Astyanax mexicanus: one gene and its partner. The protein of the gene in region 2 interacts with the protein of the main gene of each other region in a pairwise test. Links are inferred from orthologs where the notes say so. Each region holds a gene or a part of one and is shown on either strand. Other genes may lie near its edges. The genes, in order: chchd2 and lhx4.

Region 1 (12,822 bases), on a different chromosome or scaffold from region 2:
TCTCTCTCCTCTCTCTCTCTCACAACCCTTCTCAGAAGCTAAGCAAGAAGGCGGAGCTTTGGAGGGAAGGGGGGCATTCTGGTCTGCTGTAGTAGTAGTAGTAGTAGTGCATAGGTTCGGGATAGGAGTGGGGTGGGTGGAACAACTGTTTGTGTACGCGCAGGAGGTGTCTTGTCAGAACTGTGCGTCGGACGATCTCTAAATCACCGTGGCGGAGGCTGATCTCAGGTTAGCTCTTTTGTCACCCTCCTGGAGGACGTTTAACATGGCAAGGATGAACCCTGGTCAGTGCTTGAGCCGTCGACTCCCACACTCTTTAGAGAAAAACAAGAACAGCCTGCAGCAATTGGTCACCGCTGTCTGATCATGACATTTTTTTTTGGAGATTTGCGATCTCGGTCACCCTCTGTAGCTAACCAACATGAGGCTGAATCTGAGGGAGAAGAGAGAAGAGAAGATTCCCCAAGTTTTATCACACGTCCCTCCCCTTACCGCCCTTGGCCTTTAATAATATACTGGCTCTTGGAGTCTAGGCTCATGAGGTGTATGTGTGTGAGTTAGCTCTGAACCTAAGTGTGACGTGGACAAGACATTTTAGACTGTAATCTCCAAAAAGGGATTTTTCAAGTTCTTAATGAAGTGGGAATGGGCTGGGCTTGTTTTTGGAGTGTGTCAAAATCCCTAGCCTCTAATTTTCCGCCTTTCCTGCACCTGCTCGGTCCATCCATCTCCGTCGAAGGGTCTCCATCTGCTTGGTCAGGCTAAAAGACTGGCTTACCTCAGATGTAAGCTGGTCTTCCAGGGAAAACTGTGTGCATGTATGGTGGCCTAATCTCAATTTAACCAAAATAATTTGTTCTGACTAAGAGCAGCCAAGTAATCTGAGCTATTCATAAAGGCTAAATCACTTCCTTAATATGTGATAGAAATGTATAGGGACTATAAAACATTCTAATCGACATATTTTATTATATACAAACATGCTTTCAAACAATTAAATAATAGAGCAGAAAAAATATAAGGTCATAAAAGTAACAAACTAGCAGATATTATAATACAATGATTGACACCAAAAAGTTACCTGTCCCTCTTAGCGTTGGGTGTGCGAGACCTGGATCGAGAGCGAGATCGCGAGAAAGATCTGGACCGAGAGCGAGACCGAGACCGACTGGAAGGAAACAAAATCAAATGGCAGTTTGAAATAAGGGCTGATTCTGGACAGAAAAAAAGTAAAATTGGTTTGAGACTGATTCCTTACCTCCGAACAGGAGTCCTGGACTTGGAGCGGGCTGGAGTACCAGACCTAGGATTAGGATTACGATTAGGGTTGTGATTTTGACTGGAAAAATGGAAGCGTATTACTTTTTTAGTTAAATGATTAGTCAAACTGTGTGCTACACTACACTTTGATAAATCAAATGCGATAAAGCATTCAGCATCACTGATCACAGCATTTACTTATCAAAAGACTGTCTGTCTTTGTAAAAACTTTAAAGACACAAATAACTTGGGTAGCAGTGCTAAAGTAAATATATGACAAAGATAAAACGCCTCACATAAACATATGACTAAAAATGATTATTACAGTATTGCTGGTATTAATATATCGTTCTTTGCTGGTATATGTGCTGGGATGTAAAAGTGATAATTTTGGTGCCTCACTGAACATTACTGGAAAAAAGGTATTTGTTTATTAATAAAAACCAAACACATAAGGACTGTAACAATTTTAAAATGCAAAAAAAAAAAAAAGCAAAAAAAAAAAAAAAAAGATTACGCTGACAATACTATTCCTTATTACTATTATAAGAACTGTACCGCGCCTCTACTTCTGCTTTGTATTTGATTATTTTCATGCAACACCAAGGTTAAGCATAATACCATAAATTAAAATCAAAAATATGTCCTCAGGTGCTTTAGCAGAGTAAAAACATTATTAACATTTGCAATGACTGATACTGCCACAGTTATCTAACAGCAAGTCACAACAGCTTACCTGCTCCTGCGTTTTGAATAAGATGGAGAATGGTATCTCCTGCAAAATTAGAAAAGAAAATATGTAAAGTTTTGAAAGTTTTAATAGTTTCTACAGGCTTCATCTACTCATTTAAAAAAGTGGGGTAAATTCTGTTTTCTAATAAGAGAGCTCTAATCGGGCCACACAGTCCTTAAAATTATGACCTACTGTAATAGCACCTAATATGCCACATTCAAATAATTAAATGAATAGACTTCACTTATTTTTTTTAATTATTCTAAGTATTAAACACAATTCAGTTTGAATATAATAATTTTTAAAAATGTTCTACCGTTCATTGCTGCGGCTTCGGGAGCGTGAGCGGTTGCGTCGTCCCCTGGACCTGGACCTGGATCGAGAGCGAGATCGAGACCTACAAAATAAACAAAACTTGTAAAATCGCAAATATAGCTTTTTTTTTATCATCTGTCATCCCTTAATAACAACAATAACTTAATAATAACAATGTTAGTTTCTTGCTCTCTGCTGGTAGTTTGATAGTCATATTTTTGATAATTGTCACACACAGCAAATTCTTACTCTGTAACATTTACCGGTTTAAAAATCTATATACACTTGTCATACACTTATGTTTCACATCTGTTTTAGAAGTGTCTCTCCGTTTTTAGCAAAATTCCAAAGATATTGCAAAATATCAGAAGACTGACATTGAAAGTGATGAATTGTGTTGAAAAGATAAATGTTAAGGCCAACAAAAGACCACCAGACTTAAAAACCTTTGAGACCTCACGATCATTTTGAAAAATATGAAACAAAATGTATCCAAAGGCTATATAAAGTTTGCACACAGTGAAGAAGTGTGTGGGAAGTAATTAATCTTCTTATTCAAATACCATAACAATGTGACAGTCTAGCTTCATTAGTGATGGTTTTACCTGCTACGACGCCCCCTTTTGCTGAAGCGGTAACAGTCATAAGCGTAGTGTCCTCTGTCTCCGCACTGATAGCAGCGATCATTTGGGTCAAACTGGCGGCGGTTGGGTCGACCAAATCGGCTTTTCCGGGACATGCCGGTGGACAGCTCGACGCGAATCCGAGATCCACAGAGAACCCTAAAAAAGGATATGGACAATAGAGTTGATGCAGAACTGCCTGATGTATTTTTCTTATGGTCACTTTAATTAATTACCTTGATTATATCTAATAGGTATTGACCTAAAATATGTGGACTTTTGTTAAAAGTCCAAAAAATATGGTCCATACATTTTTACTATGTGAATTATTTCAGAATTCTTCTAGAAGCAAGCATCAAGCTGCAAGTTGATGAATGACTTCCAACCAAATATTAATGTCCTTTGTCACAAACACTGTATATGTATGTTTGTTTATCTTTAAAAAAATAACAGTTAAAAATGCATTTATTATAGTCATGCTATTCAGGTTCATAATGAATATACAGAAATTTCTAACCACATCTGTAGAAACTGTACAGTATATGAGTAATTGCTTTACTTTTTGTGTCTTAAATGTGGCATTTTTGTTTTCTTTAATTGCATGCTAAATTGGTCTGTAAGCTGGTTTTTTTTAAATAGAAAACAGAATTTGATAAAAATGCAATATATAAAAAGTGGAATGGTAAGAGAAATATAATATATATATATATATATATATATATATATATATATATATATATATATATTTTTTTTTTTAAAGAAAGAAATTTCCAAATAACTCTTTTATTCATTGATGCACCTACTTTCCATCCATTCCTTTCACAGAATCCTCTGCATCCCGGGCATCTTCATACTCCACAAAGGCAAAACCAGGTGGGTTCCTTGCCACCCAGACACTGCGCAGAGGGCCGTAGTAGCTGAAAGCTCTCTCCAGCTCAGCTTTAGCAGCTCCACTGCCCAAATCTCCAACGTACACTTTGCATTCCGAGTTGCGGGACGAGCCGCGAGATGATGAGGAGGAATAGTAGGACATCCCTCACCTTATCTGAAAAAAAAAGAAAACACAACAATTAATGACTTAACAATATGAAAAAAACACTATTTGTACAATTGTCAACATCAGACACTATTATTTCATTATTTTTTTCCTTTTATTGTTTTGAATTTAAATGTATTTTTTCACATTTATTTGGGTTTTCGTATTAACTGTATTATTCATACTGGCGTGTTTTATGACATTGTGCACTACCAGTCAAACGTTTTAGAACATCTCTATTTGTAGTAGTCCAGTAATTAGCAGTGCTGTATTGCCCAGACAAGCTGCTTTTTATTTTCTTATTTTACTGCATTTCACCTGTCAGACCTATAATTCTTCTCTTCACTGAGACTTAGTCCATTGTTAGGCGAAACTAAATGTGTTGCCATGGAAGTCAGTCAGACGTTATACTGTAACGTTACAAGTTTTCTCAAATTTCAAAGAGTTTTTTAAGGTGTAGGAAACAGTATTCACCGCTCTCTGGTTCCCTCTGTAATTTCTCTAAAAATAAATATTTATACTTCCAATAGTTACAAAGGTATCTGTGTTTCTGTAAAAACGAAAGCAAGAGAAGCGGAAAGAGCTAAAGGATTAGCTGTTCTGTCTCCAATTTAAAACACACAAAATACAGGTTAAATGTACACTTTCCAGCTGTTTATATTGACATGTTATGGCTTAGGTCTGGTTGTTTATAGGTTAACGTTAGTTATATTGTTTTGTGTTCTGTATGAAATTCTATGTGTTGCTTTTAGCTAACTATAAGAATAATAAATGCGACTCCTGCCAAATTTCCAACGATAACATTAGCTAGCTAGGCTAGCTGGGCTAAAGCTATCTAGTTTGGCTAATGCTAGCTAGCTAAGTGGCTAACAAACTCGACAGGCTGAATAACAGTAAATCTCACCTCTTTACTTTATTATTATATCCAGTGTTCCGTAGCTTCATTAAACAGCGCACTGTAAATAAAATAGCGCGATGTTTTTTAGATTAATAACAGACATCAGACACAAAGGAGCTGGATAGCGCTATCCGCTCTCTCCGAAGCTCAGAGGGAGGATCAGTCTGACAGCAGGAAGCGGAAAAGCGATGTATCATTCATTTTATTTTATTATAAAAAATTAACAAAACTGTAAGGCATTATTAAGTTATGAGACAGCGATATACTATTATATAAGACACATTTACACAATCAAGCAACAAAACAATAAAAATAACTTTTTTATTAACAGATTAAATAATAAATGATCTGATAAAACAATTATTTAAAACAATTAAAGACAATTAAAAATAATATTTTATGGCACCTTAATAGTAGTGTTTTCTATTAATTAATAAAGGTCTGTATCACTTTTAGATTTCATTGTATATATTTATTAAAATTAACATTTAAAATAAACATTTTTTAGTTTTCCACTAAATTGGAATTACTTTGTGGCTTAATATAATGTTTACACTTTATATATATATATATATATATATATATATATATATATATATATATATATATATATATATATATATATATATATATATATAAATGTTTATACATTATTTTAAACTCAATTCTTAAGTACCAAACATATTTCCTTGTTGGTGTATTTTTTCAGTAGATATTTAAAATAGATATTAATCATATTTCCTTATTTGTTTGGTATTTATTTATCTCTCAATAAGACCATTGGTCATTCTATGTTTATATGTATGTGTCCCAAACTTGTATTGTATATTGATATTACAATTAATACAAATATTTTCCACTTCATGCACCACCCTCTGACATTAGACTGCTCTCCGTAGACAGGAGTTTACTATTTATTACTGTGTGCAATAAAACGTTTTACCTATTGCTGCTGTTAGTGCTGCTCTATTATGTAATATCTAAATTAAAGAGGACTGGCATAGTCATAGTTTACCACCACCATCACTATGTGCATATGTATTATATTTCTATATTCTGTTGTATATATAGTAAATTAGTAAATATAGTATATTTATTTGTATATTTACTTTTTCTGTTCATCCATCCGTTCTGCTGTAACATTGCACATCATATATGTTATTAATGTTTATGATGAATCTTCTACTTATTCTTCTATTTATTTATCTCTCAGTAAGACCATTGGTCATTCTTTATTTTTATTTATGTGTCCCAAACTTGTAGTGTAAGTTATATTGTTATTACAAATTTTTGACTCTGTCTAGCAAACCAAAAATGGTTGGACTTTAACAATATATCAAGTATTGTCTTATACAGTAGTGTACACATTATCCAGACAGAAAACATATTTCCAGAATGTAAATTTACAAAAGGTTCTGTTTGTGTGTGTGTGTGTTTTTTTTTAAGGAATCTGAAACACCTGATAAATGACATTCAGGTCGTGTAGTTTTAGTAAAGCCCGTAATAATTAAAGAACAAATTAGAACAGATCAGAAAATAACTGAAAACACTGTAAATTTAAGAAATAAAATATTTTTAATCTACTTTTATATTGAAAGGCCATGTGATGTAACTGATATAACATGCTGGAAAGTTCCCCGGATGTTTCGTGTTAGCTAGCAGACAACCAGAAGGTCGAGCAGAGACTCAGGCAGCTAGGGAGCTTATCTTAGTTAACTACCTTAATTCACACAATCTCTAGTTAATAGAGAGACTCAGAGTTTAAAACTTGGTTGTAGTTTATTATATCGTTCAAAATGCCGAGAGGAAGCCGCAGCCGAACCTCCAGGATGGCTCCCCCGAGGTGAGATAACTGAAGCCGGGTTAGCAGCGGCTAATAGCGGTTTACCTGATCTGTCAGCTCAGCTAGAGGACCAGGCTTCAGGGATTTAGCTTAGCTAACCTACAGTAACGCGCTGTTTACATATTAACACTGTAGCTAAACTGCATGAAAGAGATTATTAAAAAACACGTTAAGCTCATAGTGTAGCAGGTAACGTTAAGGGTTAGAATAAATATGGTTGTACCATGTTGGCCACTGTAAAGGTTAATAATCTATTTTAAGGACATTTGGGGTTAAATAGGTAATGGCCCAAAGTAAAATTTGTTATTTTTGAGTAAGTTAACCCAGCGTTTCTCAACCTTTTTTCTATCACGGCACCCTTTAAATATATGCGAGATGTCAAGGCACCCCAGTTTACGGACGGGGGGTGGGGGTGGGGGGGGGGTGCTGGCGCAGTACTTCAGGTGAGAACGAGGGGTGTTGCTGGCGGAATATGAAATAAAATAGCGCGTGCATCGCGTGGGGGGACAAAAACTTTACAGTGTGTCCCAATTTAGGGGCTGCATCCTTCAGAGGCTGTATTCGAAGACAGATTGCGTCACAGCTGCGCAGTAATACACCGCCTCTGTGGGTCGCATCCTTCAGAGTATGCTGCCTGTGAATTGGGACACACCCCGACACGAGCTGACTCTGGGAAGGAAATATGCACGTGAGGCGCAATATTTTGACGGCACCCCCGATGAAGCCAGACGGAACCCCAGGGTGCCGCGGCACCCTGGTTGAGAAACACTGAGTTAACCCGTATGATAAACAACATGGCCATCCCAAGCTTGATCAAAATCAGGCCAGATTTTTTGTCAATTGTCTTCCTGACATTACACCACTAAATTTCTAGAATTTCTATTCAAGCATTACATAAAAAAGCGTTCATGTTTAATAAGGAACATAACGGAAAAGCGTACTTGTAATAGAACATATAAAAAGTTTGAGTAAATTTGCTAATGTCAAAATTTAATGAATAAAATCCTAAAATTAGCTTTATTTAAAAATCAATGTTTTTCAGAATACAAATCTGAAAAATCCTCAAAATCCCCCCCCCCCCCCCCAATAATCTTTATCCATTTTTTACATCTGTTTTCAAACATGCAGAATTTGTGTTGATTCCTGTTACTGAAATTGGAATTATTAAGTGGAGTAGAGAGTGAACAGGCAGCTTCTCCTGTAGCAGGTTTCAAAGCCCTCAAATGTTCAGAATGTAAATAAGTTAGTTTACTGCAGACAAAAAGTGTTTTGTATCACCTACACCTGTAGCCCGTTTATGGAACAATGCATTTTAAGGAGTTAACTCTGGATGGTTTAATTTGGTGGTTTTATTTCATATGATATAATCTTGATTGTAACAGTAAGTAAGCTTATAATCCAACATGTCATGATACTATATAAAGCACTCCATATATCCAGGACTGAAGTATATATCCAGTATTATATAATAATGATATAATAATATTTAATGGGGAATAAAAAGAGTGTAAATATTTTTGCTACAAAAAGCAAAAAAAGTTGTCTTGTACTGGCCCGTATGGCCCTAAAACAATATCACAATATTTCAGGGTATACAATATGGCACACTCCTAACCTTAACCCTCAAAGACCAGACCAAAATCATGGTCTAAATGGAGATTGGCTTGGATACTCCAGATTTTACACTGAAAATGTAATATTAAAGACATTAAAGCTATACAGGAACACATGCAGAATTATTTTGTAAAGGAAACGTAGCAGATACCAGAATATGTTTTATACTTTAGATTCTTCTAGTAGCCACATTTAGCTCCAGCTCATCCCAAATCACCATCTCAGCTGATCATTTTTAGGTCAGGGGGTTGTGGAGGCCAAACACTTGTTTGCTACTTGTTTTCTGCATGATTTCACATGCGTCCATTAACATGTTTTGATGTCTTTAATAATAGTCTGAAGTGTAGAAAATAAATTAGTTATAAAAAAAAAAATCAGCTTTGTACTTATAAACAAAGTGTGATTGACGCATGTTGATCTGTTCTCCACAGCTACTCCTCCCGCCCAGCACCATCACCCCCTCCAATGGCCAGAGCTGCACCTCCTCCATCCTATGCACCAGCTCCTGCCCCTCCGTCTGCTGTGGCTGCTCCTGCAGCAGCACCTAGACAGCCAGGGATGTTTGCCCAGATGGCTACCACTGCTGCGGGCGTAGCAGTTGGCTCTGCCGTTGGACACACTATAGGCCATGCCATGACCGGTGGCTTTGGTGGTGGTGGTGGTGGAAGCTCAGAGGCTGCCAGGCCTGATGTCACCTATCAGGTAATTACTGTATATCTGGCAACCTTGGGTAACCCATAATACATGGTAAACATCTGTCACTAACTATAACTAGCTAAATGTAGCAATTTTAAATACTGTGAAGTATTATTTCAACTGACTCGATAACCATTAGGTATAACCATAATGCATCACCCTCCTTTTTGTTTTTGCTAGCTTAGCAAAGCTATAGTGTGAATTATTGAAATGTGTAAATAATTTATTCTCTATGTATGGAAGTAATTCACAAAACAAGATGTATTTTAATTTATGTGGCCAGCTTTCTACATTTTATACATTTGTTCATCTTTTCAAGTAACATTAACTTCACTAAAGTAGCTTACTGAATTTGTGTTTGACATCTGATATGTTTGAACTTTTTTTTTTTAACTTTTCTATCAAAGATAAAGATTTTTTTTTTTACAATAATTTATTTGTCATATAACATTTGTGGGATAAAACATTATTTCAAGTAAGAAAATAGTATTTTAAACACTTCAATTTACTTTAGTTATGTGTGAAAAATAATTGGGAACTTTATTAATTGCTTTATTAATCCCGCAGGAACCCTATCAGGCTCAGCCCATGTACCAGCAGCAGCAGCCAATGTATCAGCAGGACCAGGCACATCAGAACCCCTGCTCGTATGAGCTCAAGCAGTTCATCGAGTGTGCTCAGACACAGAGCGACCTCAAACTCTGCGAGGGATTTAGTGAAGTGCTCAAACAATGCAAATTCTCCAACGGTATGTTTGTGTGATTTTTTTTTTTCCCCTTCAGTCACTACAGTGAATCAAATAAAACTACAACATATTAATATGAATGTAGTCTATTGTACTGCTAAGTCAAATCAGTCTGAATGTATGATTACAAACACTACTGTGTCATTATTTAGCCTCTATTTTTGCATTTATATATATATTTATTTATTTATAGTCGATGCTTAGGTAAGGGATCATTAATATTTGATGCATATTATATAACACAGTTATGGTATTTTATTATACTGACAAAATGAAATGTGTATTGCACCTTTAGTGGGCACTGTCAGTCTTACTGAATAGCTCTGAAGTTGTTCATTGTAACATATTATTGTGTTCACCATTGTGTTTCACATATTTACTTAATTTCTCTCTCTCTTTTTTTTAGGGATGTCATGAGTTTGCAGTTTGTGACTGGAAAAACACATTCTACATCAGTAATACAGTTTAATTAAAGAAGAGTGCAAGAAGAGACCTAACATTGTTACTATTTCTGTTAAGGAACCATTGTAATTATGCTGTATAAGACTTGTGTGTAATAGATATGTACATTTTAATGATGGCAATGATTCAATGCATATTTTCAGCTTTCTGTAGTTTCAGAAATGTAATGTTAATGAACAACAAAAAAAAAACAATAAACTATAAAACCACTCTTTGAAGCTGTTGTTCCCCTTCTTGGCACTTGCTCCACAAGAGAACACAACAAAATGTGTATAGTTCATTTTGCACATGGCAGCAGGTGCTGGTGGTGATGAGCATTTTCAGCTTTCCTCAATGTTTAGTGTATAAGCAAGCTATGCTGTCATGTTACTAAAAAACCTGAACTGTTGCAAAACTCTGGAGGGCATATTCTTCTTCCCCCTGCTGCCCAATAAAAACTCTGGGTAGCCCACCTCTTGGTCTGAGATCATTGGCTACTAGGCATGCCTCTACATAAAATCGAAGATTGACAAAGTTGAACAATGGATTTACGTTTGGACTGAGAGAAGCAGCCTTTTCGTATTTTTAAGCAGGATAATGCTTGTACACACACAGTAAAAGCCAATTTATACATTGCCTACGGCCTAGTCAGCAAGAGTGCTATGCAGCAGGGCACGTTTGTCTGTGTGCATACGTCTGTGAGCCAGTATTGCACTGGCAGCGTCCAGAAACCCCAAAATACCTCACAATTTTCCTACCAATCCTCCTCTTCTCTTCTGTGACCTGGCAACTGATTTTGTGACGCCATCTTGCCACCTGCCCGAATACCAGAGAGAAGACGAAAGAAGCTGCTTAAAATCCTCCTGGAAAAGTCTTTTAACAGAGGATACAGCACAGCATCCCACCCAGGAAATGGTTTAAATAATTTGTGACATCACTGTGGCCATGCCCATAAAGCACCTGAGCCCACATTTTTTAAATCCAATAATTACTTATTTATTCATTCATTTTTTTTATTGTACAACTTTATAAAAAACACTTACATCATCACTTATTATGAACAAATAAAAAAGAAAAAAAGAGATAAATAAAACAATATGTTCCAGTTATGGAAAAATATTTGAATGCTGTGAATGTGCATTTCTGTTTGTAATGCACAGAAAATAAGACACTACTATCCTAATATAAAATCAATATTACAATAAACCAAAAAACCTTTTATTCATAAACATGATAAAAATGGTTTTAAATTACAAATAATTAGTAAAAATGAGTTTGCATTACTTTGCCTCATTTGTTCTGTAGTGATGACATGCCCTGATGTCTAAGTTGCTGTTTGTTATTGGTCACTGCAGTGGGCGGGGCTATCTGTGCAACAAAACATTAAAAAAAAACTACATGTACATGTCCATTGTAATTGATGCCCGGTCTGAAAGGGTTCAAATATTTTTTTCAATATCCCTTAATAATAACTCAAATTAAACAATAAAATATTTTAATACTACAAATTGTTCATTATCAACAATTATACAGTGTATTTGTTATGTAAGTGAATTATGACTGGACCAGCAGCAAGCTTTATCTGTATACTCTGCTATTCTATGCTATCAGGGGTGTGTGTGTGAGTGTGACTGAGGCTAATCAGAGTCCTGGGAGGTGTGTGTGTGTGTGTGTATATATATATATACGTGTGTGTGTGTGTGTGTGTGTGTGTGTGTGTGTGTGTGTGTGTGTGTGTGTGTGTGTGTGTGTGTGTGTTCAGGCGTGAGCTAGCAGCTCCATGTTTAATAGCTGGAGCTTTTTTATTTTTGGGTGCTGACATTCTCGCTTGCCCTTTCTGTGTCCCATAGTGTGTGTGTGTGTTTATGTGTGTGACCGGCTTTTAGCCTTAGCCGTCGTTTCGTTTGCTAGACAGGCGGAGAGCATCGAGTCAAACCATGAAGTGACTGGAGGATAACAGCTGATATATAAGCTAATATATCACACTACTGCAGTGACTGAGGAGGTATGGGGCCTTTGTCTTTAGTATGTATATATTGTACTGTAAAATAGGTTAAAGGCTAGCTAGTGATTAAATAGGCGGAATAAAAACAGGTTAATAATTGCTGTATACCAGCTGTATTGATTATAAAGCTATTTAGCTCTTGTTTATAAACGTTAATGATAAATGAATATTTCTCTAGCAAACGCAGAACAGCTTTAACCATATAGTTTTATTTATACTGACTGCTGTAAGCCACTGTATTCAATGAAAAATCAATAGATGCGGCAAATTCAGGTCCAGAAAACACAGATCCGCTCCGGGGTTTAGTTCCAACTGCCTGGGTGGCTCTTTTGCTTCTCCATCTGCAGCAGATCCACCCAGGCAGTTGGAACGAACGCCCGGAGCGGATCTTTCCTTTTTGGACCTGGATTTGCCGTCATTCAATGGATGTCACTGTAAACAGATGGTTAACTGGTATCAGTGGGCTCTACTGTAAGAAGGAATTAGGTCAAAGCTCTGTATTAGATGGTCCCACGCTCAAAACACTACCTCTTGACTTAATTTACGATCTAATAATGCTTTCAAAGGAGACATTTGGGTAATTTTACTTAATGTTTCAGTCAAGTGAAACAAA
Region 2 (12,235 bases):
TTATAACAGGTTTAGTTGCAGATGGTGTAGGTGTATTGAACATGTATTAGATGCGTAACAGAGTTTAGGTGTAGAGTGTGTAAGTGTATTAGATGTGTAATAGAGTGTGTATAACAGGTTTAGGTGTAGATGGTGTAGGTGTATTATATGTGTAATAGATGTGTAATATATTGTTTTAACAGGTTAAGTTGTTGCTGTTGTAAGTGTATTAGAAGTATATTATATGTGTAATACAGGATGTATAACAGGTGGTATGGCTTGTGTAGGTTTTTGAGACATGTAATAGATGTGTAATAAAGTGTGTGTTACAGGTGGTATGGCTGGTATAGGTGTTTGAAACATGTAATAGATGTGTAATAAAGTGTGTATAACAGGTGGTATGGCTGGTGTAGATGTTTGAGACATGTAATAGATGTGTAATAAAGTGTGTGTAACAGGTGTTATGGATGGTGTAGGTGTTTGAGACATGTATTAGATATGTAATACAGTGTGTATAACAGGTGGTATGGTTGGTGTAGGTGTTTGAGACATGTAATAGATGTGTGATAAAGTGTGTGTAACAGGTGCTTTGGCTGGTGTAGTTTTTTGAGACATGTAATAGATGTGTAATAGTGTGTTTATAACAGGATGAGGTGTACTGGGTGTTCTCTTACTTGAAGAAGTCTTCTTTGCAGTACACACTCCCAGCGCGGGAGAAGCAGCGGTCAGCCAGCAGAGTGTGGCAGTCTGAGCATTTCAGACACTGAGCGTGCCAGTGCCGGTCCAGAACCTTCAGAATAAACTTATCCAGAATCGTCTGACTGCAGCCCGCACACTCCGGCAACTCTACACACACACACACGAACACACACACACATACACACAGATGTGAAAGGTTTATTCATTGCTGTTATTTGTTTTATTATTTACCTGTTCAGTAAAACACACGTTCTGATCCAGTCCCATCCTTCTATTGCCTAATTTATTCTGTCCAGATCTGTGTGTGTGTGTGTGTTAAAGAATGTGTGTGAATGAGAATGAGTGGATTGTGTGTGTGTGCGTGCATGTGTGTTCCCAGAATAGACAGTAAAATTGAATATAACACACTGCATTTTTATTATAATCATTTTGAATTGTAGATCAGAACGTAAACACGAATAATCTAAAATATTAAATGAATATATTAATATTATATTGTTAAATAGTTGATGGTGGTGATGAAAAGATAGGAATGATTAGATTACTATTACCACTACGAATAATAATAATAATAATAATAATAATAAACTGTTTTTACATTTAATTACGTGTGTATTTCACAATACAGTAAAGCAGTTTGAGATGCTCTATAAATAGCGTATTATATTTTTGTATTGTTATTACTGTTGATATTCAATATGTATAAAGTGTTTTTATCTTTGAATGTGTGTGAGGTGTGTGATGTTTGTGTGTGAGGTGTGTGATGTGTGTGTGAGGTGTGTGTGAGGTATGAGGTGGGTGTTTTGGTTTGAGTGCACTAAAGCCGCTTTAATCGATCAAAGATTAGAAAAGCTCGGCGCGGTAAATATCAGATTTATCATTCATAATCAATAACACATCCCGCAACCTGTGCTCATAACGACAAGACGCGCGCGCGGATACACAGAAAATACACAGAAACGCCGTCAAATCGGGAGATCAAATCTAAACACAATGAACCGGATTTAAAGCGTTTACACTTGATAACACACACCTGTAAAATACCTCAACAAACACTACTAGCATCGCCTGACTGATACACACACCTTATTCATCACCAAAGATGTTAATTTATTTATTTATTTAAATAATGTAAATAACCCGTTATGTTGGTTCAGTGTGAGTGTGTGCGCGTGGCGATCAGAGAATAATACTGAGCCTTTAAACAAACAACCAATTAATACTGATATTAATTTTAGTGTTTAATAATAGCAGTGCTTTAGTGCAAATATTTGAGTTGGTGTTTTATTAATAGTGCTGGAAATATTGGCTTAAAATTGTTATTACTGTTATTATTAGCATTAGCATTATACTCAGATAGCAAATGTATGTTAAACCGACGTTCCAATGCATTGAAATAACGTTGATCAGATGTTTTATTTAAGATGTTGATTTAACATATTTAAGCGTTATTCCTAGTATAAAACTTATATAATCAAATACGTATTTCTTATCTATCTATCTATCTATCTATCTATCTATCTATCTATCTATCTATCTATCTATCTATCTATCTATCTATCTATCTATATATATATATATATATATATATATATATATATATATATATATATATATATATATATATATATACACACACACACATGTTGTATTCCATTCTTTTATATGATTGTACTGTGTCCCTGCAGTGCCGAAAGCGAATTTGAAATAATAATTATTATTATTATTATTTGTGGGGAGTACCTTCCGCATAAAATCATTGAGTGTTAAATAGCCCCAAAAAACGTGGATTAAATGTCAAAATTCTAACTGTAACTGATGCCCATGAGTCAATATTAAATAAAGGTTGTTTAAATGTTCCTTTTCCATCATCAGCATTAAACGACATAACACAACCAAACAATGAACGTATATTAAATGTTCTTTACTGTCAGGTTATTATTATTAATACTCAGCACTCGGATGTTCTTCATTTTGAACGGTCACTGCTCGCGCCGTCCGCGCTCTCCTGCTCCTGTATTAGATTTACACCTGACACAGTTTTCTCTGCAGAACTGTCTACAGGTTCACTACTGTACTGTACAGAACTGAAAAAAAGGTTCTATAACGTTTTTGTTTTTGCTCGTAATACCAGATAAACCCTTTTGAGGTTTAGATTTATTTTTTAGAATTCCTTTTTTTGCGTTAATAAATGTATTGTTTTGTAAACTCATATGTTAATGAAAAAAAAAAATCTAAAATAATCTGTCTCAAACCTAAAATCATCTGAATGTGTACACAGGACTCTGAATTTACAGGTAAAACCTCAACAATATACTTTTTTTTTTTTTTTCAAAAAAATTAAAACAGGTCTACTAATACCTCTCTTTATTGACACTTTTAATAACATTAATTCAACAAATTTCTAACAACTAATCACGCTAAAAAAGTAAATAACAAAATAACAACACCACCATAAAGCCATAACCCCGAACATATCTGATCATATCTTTCTGTAGTGCTATTACAGATGTTTAGGTTTATAAATTGGACTGTTATTACAAATATGATTGTCCTTAATAACAGTTATGGCGCTAATAATAAATACTACTACGCCAAAGAACAAATATTGCAATCTTTAATAATAATATCGATTAGAAATCATGAAAATTAAAATCTTGACCAACGTTAACGGTTCCAATAACAGAATAAGAGCTGTATATAAGAAGAACAAGAATAAGAATATACACTAATTAAAGGTGCACGAATAATAGCTGTGATTGGAGCTGAAATCTAGTCTAATATGAGCTTATTTGTACAGAAAATATTTATCATTTATAAGTCATAATTGAGGTAATTAATGAGCAGTTTTACTGCGCGTTCCTAAAATAAAATAAACAGGACCAGATCGGCAGAATTTATTGTTAGTGAAACCCGGTTTATTTTAAATGTTTTGAGTTTAGAATCAGAATCAAGTAAATCAAGTGAATGCAGTGTGTTTATATCTCATATTTTATATTTACAGCAGTGTACTGTTTGTGTTTATTCGTTAAATAATCCATCTGCTGATCCGGAGCAGCTTCAGATTAAACCAGATTAGAATGAAGAGCAGCTGTGGACTAATGGAATATAGGGGAATAAATAATATAATGGGTAATTCCCACTTTAAGAAACACTATTAATGCTATTATTAATATATACTATAAAAGTAATATTTAAGCTTTATCAGTTGCTTAACTGCAGTGATGTTAGATTACCTGTTATTGAGCGCGACATTAATTTTACGCTATATGAAAGATCATTAAATGCGGTTTTAATGCATTTAAATAACGGGTTTATATTGTAATGTAACATTTTAATCATTCGGGGGTGGAAATTTTTTTGCAGCTCATGCAGCGGAATGAATGATGCGCCTGCGTGTTTCCTGCAATTTACTCTAATTTACTCATGCAAAAGCAAACAATATGATATTAATTTATTTTTAAATCGCTTGATTTTAATAAAATATAAATTATGACTTGGTTGTCTTTTTATATATGTGTGTGTGTGTGCAGGGTTAGTATTGTTCAGACACTATCTGATCGCTTACTTATAATAAAATCATAATAATATAATAAATGTTCCGCACAAATAATCCGGATGTCACCAATACAATCGTAATAATTAATATGATCAATGTTATCGCAATGTAGTATTGGTGAATATCAGTGAATATCAGTGACGCTGCTCTGAATCAATGTCAGCAGTGATGCAATACACGAAATGTGTGCGCGTGTGTTCTATAGCTTCATAATTAATTCTATATCATACATGATATTTTTATGGGTATATTAAATGATGATCAATAATAGTTAGTTATTAAACCTATTTGACCTGATGTGTGTGTGTGCGTGTGTTACTCAACCAAGCTGAGTATGTGTGTGTGTGTGTGGGGGTGAGGTGTGTGTATGAGGAGTGTATATGAGTGTGTGTAAGGTGTGTGTATAGGAGTGTGTGTAAGGTGTGTGTATGAGTTTATGTAAGGTGTGTGTATGAGTGTGTGTGTATGAGTGTGTGTGAGGTATGTATGTGTGCGCGTGTGTGGTTCTTACGGTGTTGTCCCCGCGTGTCCGCGCTCTGTCCCGCGCGCTGCATCATCATCCTCGCCCCCTGTCCTGCTCCTCGCGCGCGCGCCGGTAAAACTCCTCCGTCTCCGGCGCTGGGGCTCGCGCTCCTTAGGCTCCGCTCCTGCTCGCGCGCTCCAGCCGGTAAAGGGCTCGTGCGGTGCAGGGTGTGCGGGTGCGCGTGTGTGTTCGGGTATGTGTGTGTATGTGTAAGTGCGCGCGCGTGTGTGGCAGTGTGTGTGCGTGCGCTCCGCTCGGCTCCATCCATCCACTCCCACTGCAGGGCGCGTGACGTCACCACCGGGCAGAGACGAGAGATGCGCGCGCCCCACGCAGGTGAGAGGAAGTGACGACGAGCGAGAGTGAGAGAGAATTATAAATAGTCCAGTCAGAACATTTCTCAAAACATTTTTTTCCATTTTATTCTGTTGCACTGATCATATAAGACATTATTTAGATGTATAAGACTGTAGTTCTGTATCTGATTCTCTGCATATTTTATTATTTTTCTCATTTTATTCTGTTCTTTAATACTCAGGATCCGCAGTAGAGAAAACCACCACAAATCAGTTATTATTATTATTATTATTATTATTATTATTATTATTATTATTATTATTATTATTATTATTATTATTATTATTATTATTTTTATTTTTATTATTAGTAGTATTATTTGGGTGGGTCGTTATTCTCAGCACTGCAGTAATTAGAACTGATCAGCATGGTGGTGGTGTATGAGGTGTTTGTGTGTTGTGCGGGTGTACAGTGAGTGGATCAGATGCAGCAGTGCTGCTGGAGTTTTTAATCACTCACTGTCCTCCACTCTGTTACACATTCCTACCTACAGCTGCTCCAGACAGACAGACCATTATCATTAGTGTGACTGTCCTTTTCACCTTCACCTCTGTAATCATTGCCATCACCACTGTACTCCATTATTCTAAGCATTATAGCATCACCATCCTTTATATTATTATCAATGTCATAATCATCACCATTTCATTATCATCCAATTCAACATCAACATAAACACCAGCATGATAATCATTCTCATCACACAATTACCATCACTATCACACATACCAATATCAGCAGATTTACCAAAACATCATGATCATTGTTATTAACACCATTATCATTACTATAAATAAACTATTATAAATTAGTATTACCAGTTACTGTCATCAGTACCATACCTATTACCATAATCACCTTTATCAATCATCATTATTACATTACAATATGTGTGCGTGTGTGAATCACAAGCTTAACTATTATTATTATTATTATTATTATTATTATTATTATTATTATTATTACTGATAATTCAGTATTAGTGTATTTGAAAGACAAAACGAAAAAAAACACCTCGTCGTATATTGTGTGTAAATATTATGTATATAGAATTAATAAAAGTATATATATATATATAGGCAAATATATATGCGGTAGCACCTTATTACCGCGCGCGCTTATAAATACAAGTGTGAGATATCTGTGGGCTTTCTAATAATAGAAGGAGGAGACTCATGCTAGAACCTCCCCCTAACACACAAACCCCAACACACACACACACACACACACACACACATACACACACACATTCAATTTATATCCACGATGCGTTAATAAAAATAGCGCTATACTCTGTATAGATCGGTTATCAGCTTTAAAAAAAACACGGATAAACCAGGATGTAGATTCTCCTCTCAGCCAACAGTCTCTAATACACTCGCTTATCTTACTTGCATTAATATTAATATGTAAGCTCGAGCCTAGAGATCATAAACGAGCGGTCTCAGTCTGGTCTCGGGCTCGATCTCATTGCCTGATCCAGCACGTGTGTATGAGGGTAGCATTTATTATTAACTGAACTTTTATTCTATATATTATTTAATGTTATACTGTAGAATACATACTTAAATATAAGTATTACTGTACAGCATATAATGTACATATAATACATGTACAATTAATTACAAAGCTTTTTTTCCTTTTTTTTTTAAATCTAAATCTAAATCTAAATGTATTGTCTCAGTCTCGGCCTCGGACACTCCGGATCTTGGTCTTGACTTGGACTCGATATGTCTTAGTCTTGATACTGAATACAATACAAATATTTAAATTGACAGAATATAGCTCAGTACTAATACCTAGAACTTAAAGCTGCAATACAAATTAAGTATACTCAGAAATACCAATAGAGTACCGAATACACACTACATTCAGACGCTAACATAGATACAAATATATCTGCCATTACAATACACTATTGTTCATAAATATACATATAACCCCTACACATCACCCGATTAATAAATACACTATCAATATCTAATACATCAGTCAGATAGAGCGGTCACGTGTTTTAATAGCTGCTGAATGTATCGATCTTCAGTAGAGCTGTAATTGACGGCACGCGGAGGAAGAACAGCAACATAAACACTGCGCGCAACTCTTAGTGATATAAAACATTTTAGTATTTTATATAAATATTTAATTTATTATGATCACTGACTGCGACTGGTTTATTAGAAGCAAATTCACGTGGAATTAAACCTTTTTAAAGTTTTTTGTGGAATTAAAAAAAACACCACTGTTTATATTTGAATATAGGCAAAAAAACAATTAACATAAATATATCTATTAACAAATTATAATATAACATGATTTAAAAAAGAAAAACATATATATAGTATGTGTGTACAAAGTGTGTCTAACCATTTCCAGCTCTCCTGCAGAAAGACCAGTGTTCCCAGTTCTCCAGTTCTCCTCGAGCCGCTGGATTATCTAATCAGTCATTCAGTGATCTGCTGCTGGTGAAACCGAACTAATTCATACCGTGTCTGCCATTTCTGCATCACCTTCCTCATCTTCATCTTACACAGGCCAACAAATGCAAATTTACAACTTGATAATTATAAGATGAGGAAGCTCGAGCAGCGACTCCTTTTAGAATTGTTACATATTTGTATATACACTCTACTTATGTCATTTTACTGTTTTATGTAAAACGTCATGTTATTTATTTGTCCTGAAATACCTAAAAACATAATATAATCACATAAAATAAGAAATGATTTTTTCTTAATCAAATATGTAGAATAGAGTTTGAGTATGAGATATATTTGAAATTGTCTCAAATCAGATATACAGAATCTGGTGGAAGGACAAATAATCAACAACAAGCATTTAAATACAATGGGTTAGAATGGGATAAAAATAGCATGAAATGGGTTATTTTCAGGTAGAAATGATATGAAATGGCGTGAGAATGATATGAAATGGGTTAGCAAATAAATGGAATAGGTTGGAATGGGGTAGAAATTAAATTTAATTAGTTAGAATGGAATAAAAAATGGGAGGGAATGGGGTAAGAATTAAACGGAATATGGAAGCAATTGAATGGAATGGTATAAAAATGTTATAAAATGGGTTGGGAAGGGGTAGGAATGATATGGAATGGGGTGAGAATTAAATAGAATGGGTGGAATGGGACAAAAATAGGATGAGATGGGTTGGGAAGGGGTTGGAATGATACGGAATGGGGTGAGAATTAAATAGAATGGGTGGAATGGGATAAAAATAGGATGAAATGGGTAGGGAAGGTGTAGGAATGATTCGGAATGGGGTGAGAATTAAATAGAATGGGTGGAATGGGATACAAATTTGATGAAATGGGTTGGGATGGGGTAGGAATGATATGGAATGGGGTGAGAAATAAATAGAATGGGTTGGAATGGGATAAACATTGAATTAAATGTAATGGGGTAAAAATGGCATGGAATTGGGTTGGAATGGGGTAGGCATTAAATGGAATGAGTTCAAATGGAGTAGGAATTACAAAGAATGGGGGGTGGAATTAGGTAGTAATTGAGAGAAATGTAATGGTAAAGACAATGAAATGGGGTAAGAGCTGGACGGAATGGGGGTGCAAATGAGGTAAAATGGGGTAGTAATTAAATGGAAAGATGTAGAATTGGGAGAAATGAGGTAGGAATAAAGTGCAATAGTGTAGATATAATGGTGTAGACATAAGATGGATTGAGATGGGGTTTAGATATTGAAGAATAAGGCAAGACAAGAATGAAGATGTTTAAAGATAAGAATATAAGAAGATAAGAATGAAGAGCAAATTTAGATTATGACTCTTTTAGCTGTGTGTTTCATTCTACATAAAGAAACACACACACACACACACATACACACACACACCTCCCCCCTCCTTTCCAATCTTCAGTGTGTGTATGCTTTATGCATGAGGGGGAGGAGTCAGGCAGTAAAATGAGATGAATTTGACCATTTCATTTGAATGTGACCCTGTTTACCTCCAGTTTTAGGGTTCAGTGTAAAATTTGGTGTGTGTGTGGTTGGGGGGGGGGGGTTGAAGATGAAATCTGATAAGCAGATCATATATTAACCCTTTTCATCTCTTTACTTAATTAATTCACTCTCATGTTGAGCGTGCGCACACACACACACACACACACAGACACACACACACACACACACACAGATGTGCAGTGTGTATGGTGCCAGGCTTTTGTTATTACAGGCAGACAGGCTGTCCGAGTCGTAAACACCGCTAAGACACTACTGTCCCTTACACACAATATAGGGACAAAAGTATTGGGACACCAGCTCACTTATTGTATCTTCTGAAATCAAGGATATTAACAATAGTGTATCCTGCTTTTGCTGGAGTAACTGTCTCTACTGTCCAGAGAAGACTTTGTAGATTCTGGAGCATTGATCTGGATCTGGATCATCAACCCTACCTTATCCCCAACTCATCCCATACAAAAGTATTGGATGGTGCTCCATCATTCCAGAGAATATTGCTGGGGGCTTTATTACACACTGAAGTATGCCCACGCCTAGCATTAGGCATAGTGGTGCCAATAGGTTCATGCTTGGATATCTGCTCCAGAGTGTCCTATTGTATTAGCAATGCTTGAGTACTGTTGCCCTTATATGCTTTTGTAAATATTTCAGGACACTGTTGAACTACTGTAATTATTCCCTTAATAAATGCTAAACCACGATGCCCCCTCCACCATGCTTTACAGCTGGTCTGAGTCGTGGCATCGTCCTTTTGGAAAAGCACACCTACTGTAAGTGTTTAGAGTTTAGAAAGCATATGGCCATTGGCCACTGGTTGCAGGACCTCTTCAATGTAACGTTGAGTAGTCCAAGTTGCTATGATGAAGATCAAAGGTGATCTGACATCATGTGAAATTACACCCCACACTATGACCTTGGGGAAATGTGACCTGAGTAAAAACAAACCATTCATCTTGTTGCTGACTGCAGTGGCTCCACACACAGATCCATTTGTTGTCTGTGTGTGAATGTGATGATGATATATGTAAGTTTATTGGGGGAAAAAATGGAAAATTGAAATAAGGCTTTAGTACCCTGGATACAAGAAGAGATTGAGACGGATGGGCATGGAGTTATACAGGTTTGGCATGGCAACCTGCAGCACATTTTCCCACAGATGTTGCTAAAGCTGGACCTGTAGATCCTTTACACTGATCTGGTTGATCTGGTGGCCAAACTGAGGTTCCAGATGCTTCCATAAATACTCGACTGGGGACCAATCTGGCAACCAGACAGGCGAATAAAGACATTTTTGGGAGACCCTTGTGGTCGTCGGTGAGCATTGTCCTGCTGAAAATTGCCAGTTTGAATCCCTGACACATCATTAGGATGTCCTACAAATATTACTGAGCTGTTAGTGTTCCTCGTATCAGTACTAGTAGTGAGCAACGGTTGTATACGATGGTTCACTGGATCATCACACCCAAGTGGTTTGGGCAGTGTGTCACTCCACTGCAAAGGCAGGATTAAATCGCTCATCCTGAGGCTTCCATACTCTAATTGAACATTTGTTCAATCTTAAACAGAACCAGGATTTGTTGCTAGAGATGATCCATTTCCGATGATCTGTGTGACTCCAAGGTTCTCTTTATTACACCACTGCAAATAAAGGTGATGATGGCCTGACGTTGGATCTTGACTGGCATTGGACTGCCTAGATGAAGGGCAATTCATCAAATCGACCATCCTGCATCTCTCAATCAATCCAAGGATGTGCCTCCTCTCAAAACCTGTAAACAGGGCAAAATGTATTTGAGTGCATCTCAGAGGCATATCTAGCAGTTAACGATCTCTCACCAGGAGGTAAACTACCCAAAAGGAGCCTCTTTAAACCTTTTTATACATATAGTACACTATATGTTTGTCAGGAACGTGTAACAGTGCTTCCTCTACAGCCCTATAAAAAGGCTCTCATAGGCTACTTTTGGGTAGTGTACCCTTTAGTGAGAGATTGCACCTATAATATATGTGTATACACTCACCAGCAACTTTATTAGGTACACCTGTCCAACTGCACATTAACGCAAATGTCGAATCAGCCAATTACATGGCAGCAACTTAGGCATGCAGACATGGCCAAGACGATCTGCTGCATTTCAAACTGAGCATTAGAATAGACTGGCTGGTCTGAGTATTTCAGAAACTGCTGATCTACTGGGATTTTCACACACAACCATTTCTAGGATTTACAGAAAATGGTCTGAAAAAGAGAAAATATCCAGTGAGCAGATACAGTTTTGTGGGCGCAAATGCCTTGTTGATGCCTGAGGTCAGAGGTGAGCTGAATAACCACTTCAATCAAATAACCACTTGTTACAACCGAGGTCTGCAGAAGAGTATCTCTAAACATCAGCACAACACGTCCAACCTTGAGGGGGATGGGCTTCAGCAGCAGAAGAACCACACCAGGTGCCTCTCCTGTCAGCTATGAACAGGAAACTGTGGATACAATTCGCACAGACTCACCAAAATCGGACAACAGAATATTGGAAAAACAATATTCAACTGGTTTTAGACCACAATAATTTATTGTCCCAACGGACAGCTCTGGTGGAAACAGGCAGTGGTGGTTTTATGTTTTTTCGATACAATCCGGCTTAGCGCCCCAACATCCCTTTCAGACAGCTTCCTCTTACAGCGTCCACAGTTAATCCTGTTGGATGTGGTTTGTCCTTCTTTGTGTTTTGCTGACATTATCCTGGATACCGTGGCTCTTGATACATCACAAAGACTTGCTGTCTTGGTCACAGATGCGCCAGCAAGACGTGCACCAACAATTTGTCCTCTTTTGAACTCTGGTGTGTCACCCATAATGTTGTGTGCATTTCAATATTCTGAGCAAAACTGTGCTCTTTCCCTGCTAATTGAACCTTCACACTCTGCTCTTACTGGTGCAATGTGCAATTAATGAAGATTGGCCAGCAGGCTGCTTCAATTTCAACCATGAAACCTCCCACACTAAAATAACAGGTGTTTCAATTTCATTGCCCAACCCCTGTATATGACAGAGGCTTCAGCTTCAACAGCTACACCACTCAAGAGCTCTAATCAAGCTTTGATCATCAGATTCTCTGAGTTTGTGATCGTCT

What was found.
Region 1: the proteins of lhx4 (region 2) and chchd2 interact in binary tests that used the Homo sapiens proteins (3 or more experiments, as listed by UniProt). The two-hybrid records come from large-scale screens. The link is inferred for Astyanax mexicanus from reciprocal best matches to the Homo sapiens genes LHX4 and CHCHD2.

Annotation. Positions count from the first base shown.
Region 1 is NC_064411.1:44,407,850-44,420,671, reverse strand, and holds chchd2 (coiled-coil-helix-coiled-coil-helix domain-containing protein 2), read left to right. Parts: upstream 1-6,505; 5' UTR 6,506-6,661; coding exon 6,662-6,708; intron 6,709-8,753; coding exon 8,754-9,024; intron 9,025-9,585; coding exon 9,586-9,766; intron 9,767-10,169; coding exon 10,170-10,180; 3' UTR 10,181-10,443; downstream 10,444-12,822. Other genes in the region: serine/arginine-rich splicing factor 7, read right to left, coding at 242-314, 1,082-1,168, 1,259-1,303, 1,997-2,035, 2,310-2,390, 2,914-3,090, 3,735-3,964. UniProt on the Homo sapiens protein: Transcription factor. Binds to the oxygen responsive element of COX4I2 and activates its transcription under hypoxia conditions (4% oxygen), as well as normoxia conditions (20% oxygen).
Region 2 is NC_064419.1:9,337,726-9,349,960, forward strand, and holds the start of lhx4 (LIM/homeobox protein Lhx4), read right to left. Parts: upstream 5,040-12,235; 5' UTR 5,029-5,039; coding exon 4,749-5,028; intron 826-4,748; coding exon 654-825; intron 1-653. UniProt on the Homo sapiens protein: May play a critical role in the development of respiratory control mechanisms and in the normal growth and maturation of the lung. Binds preferentially to methylated DNA.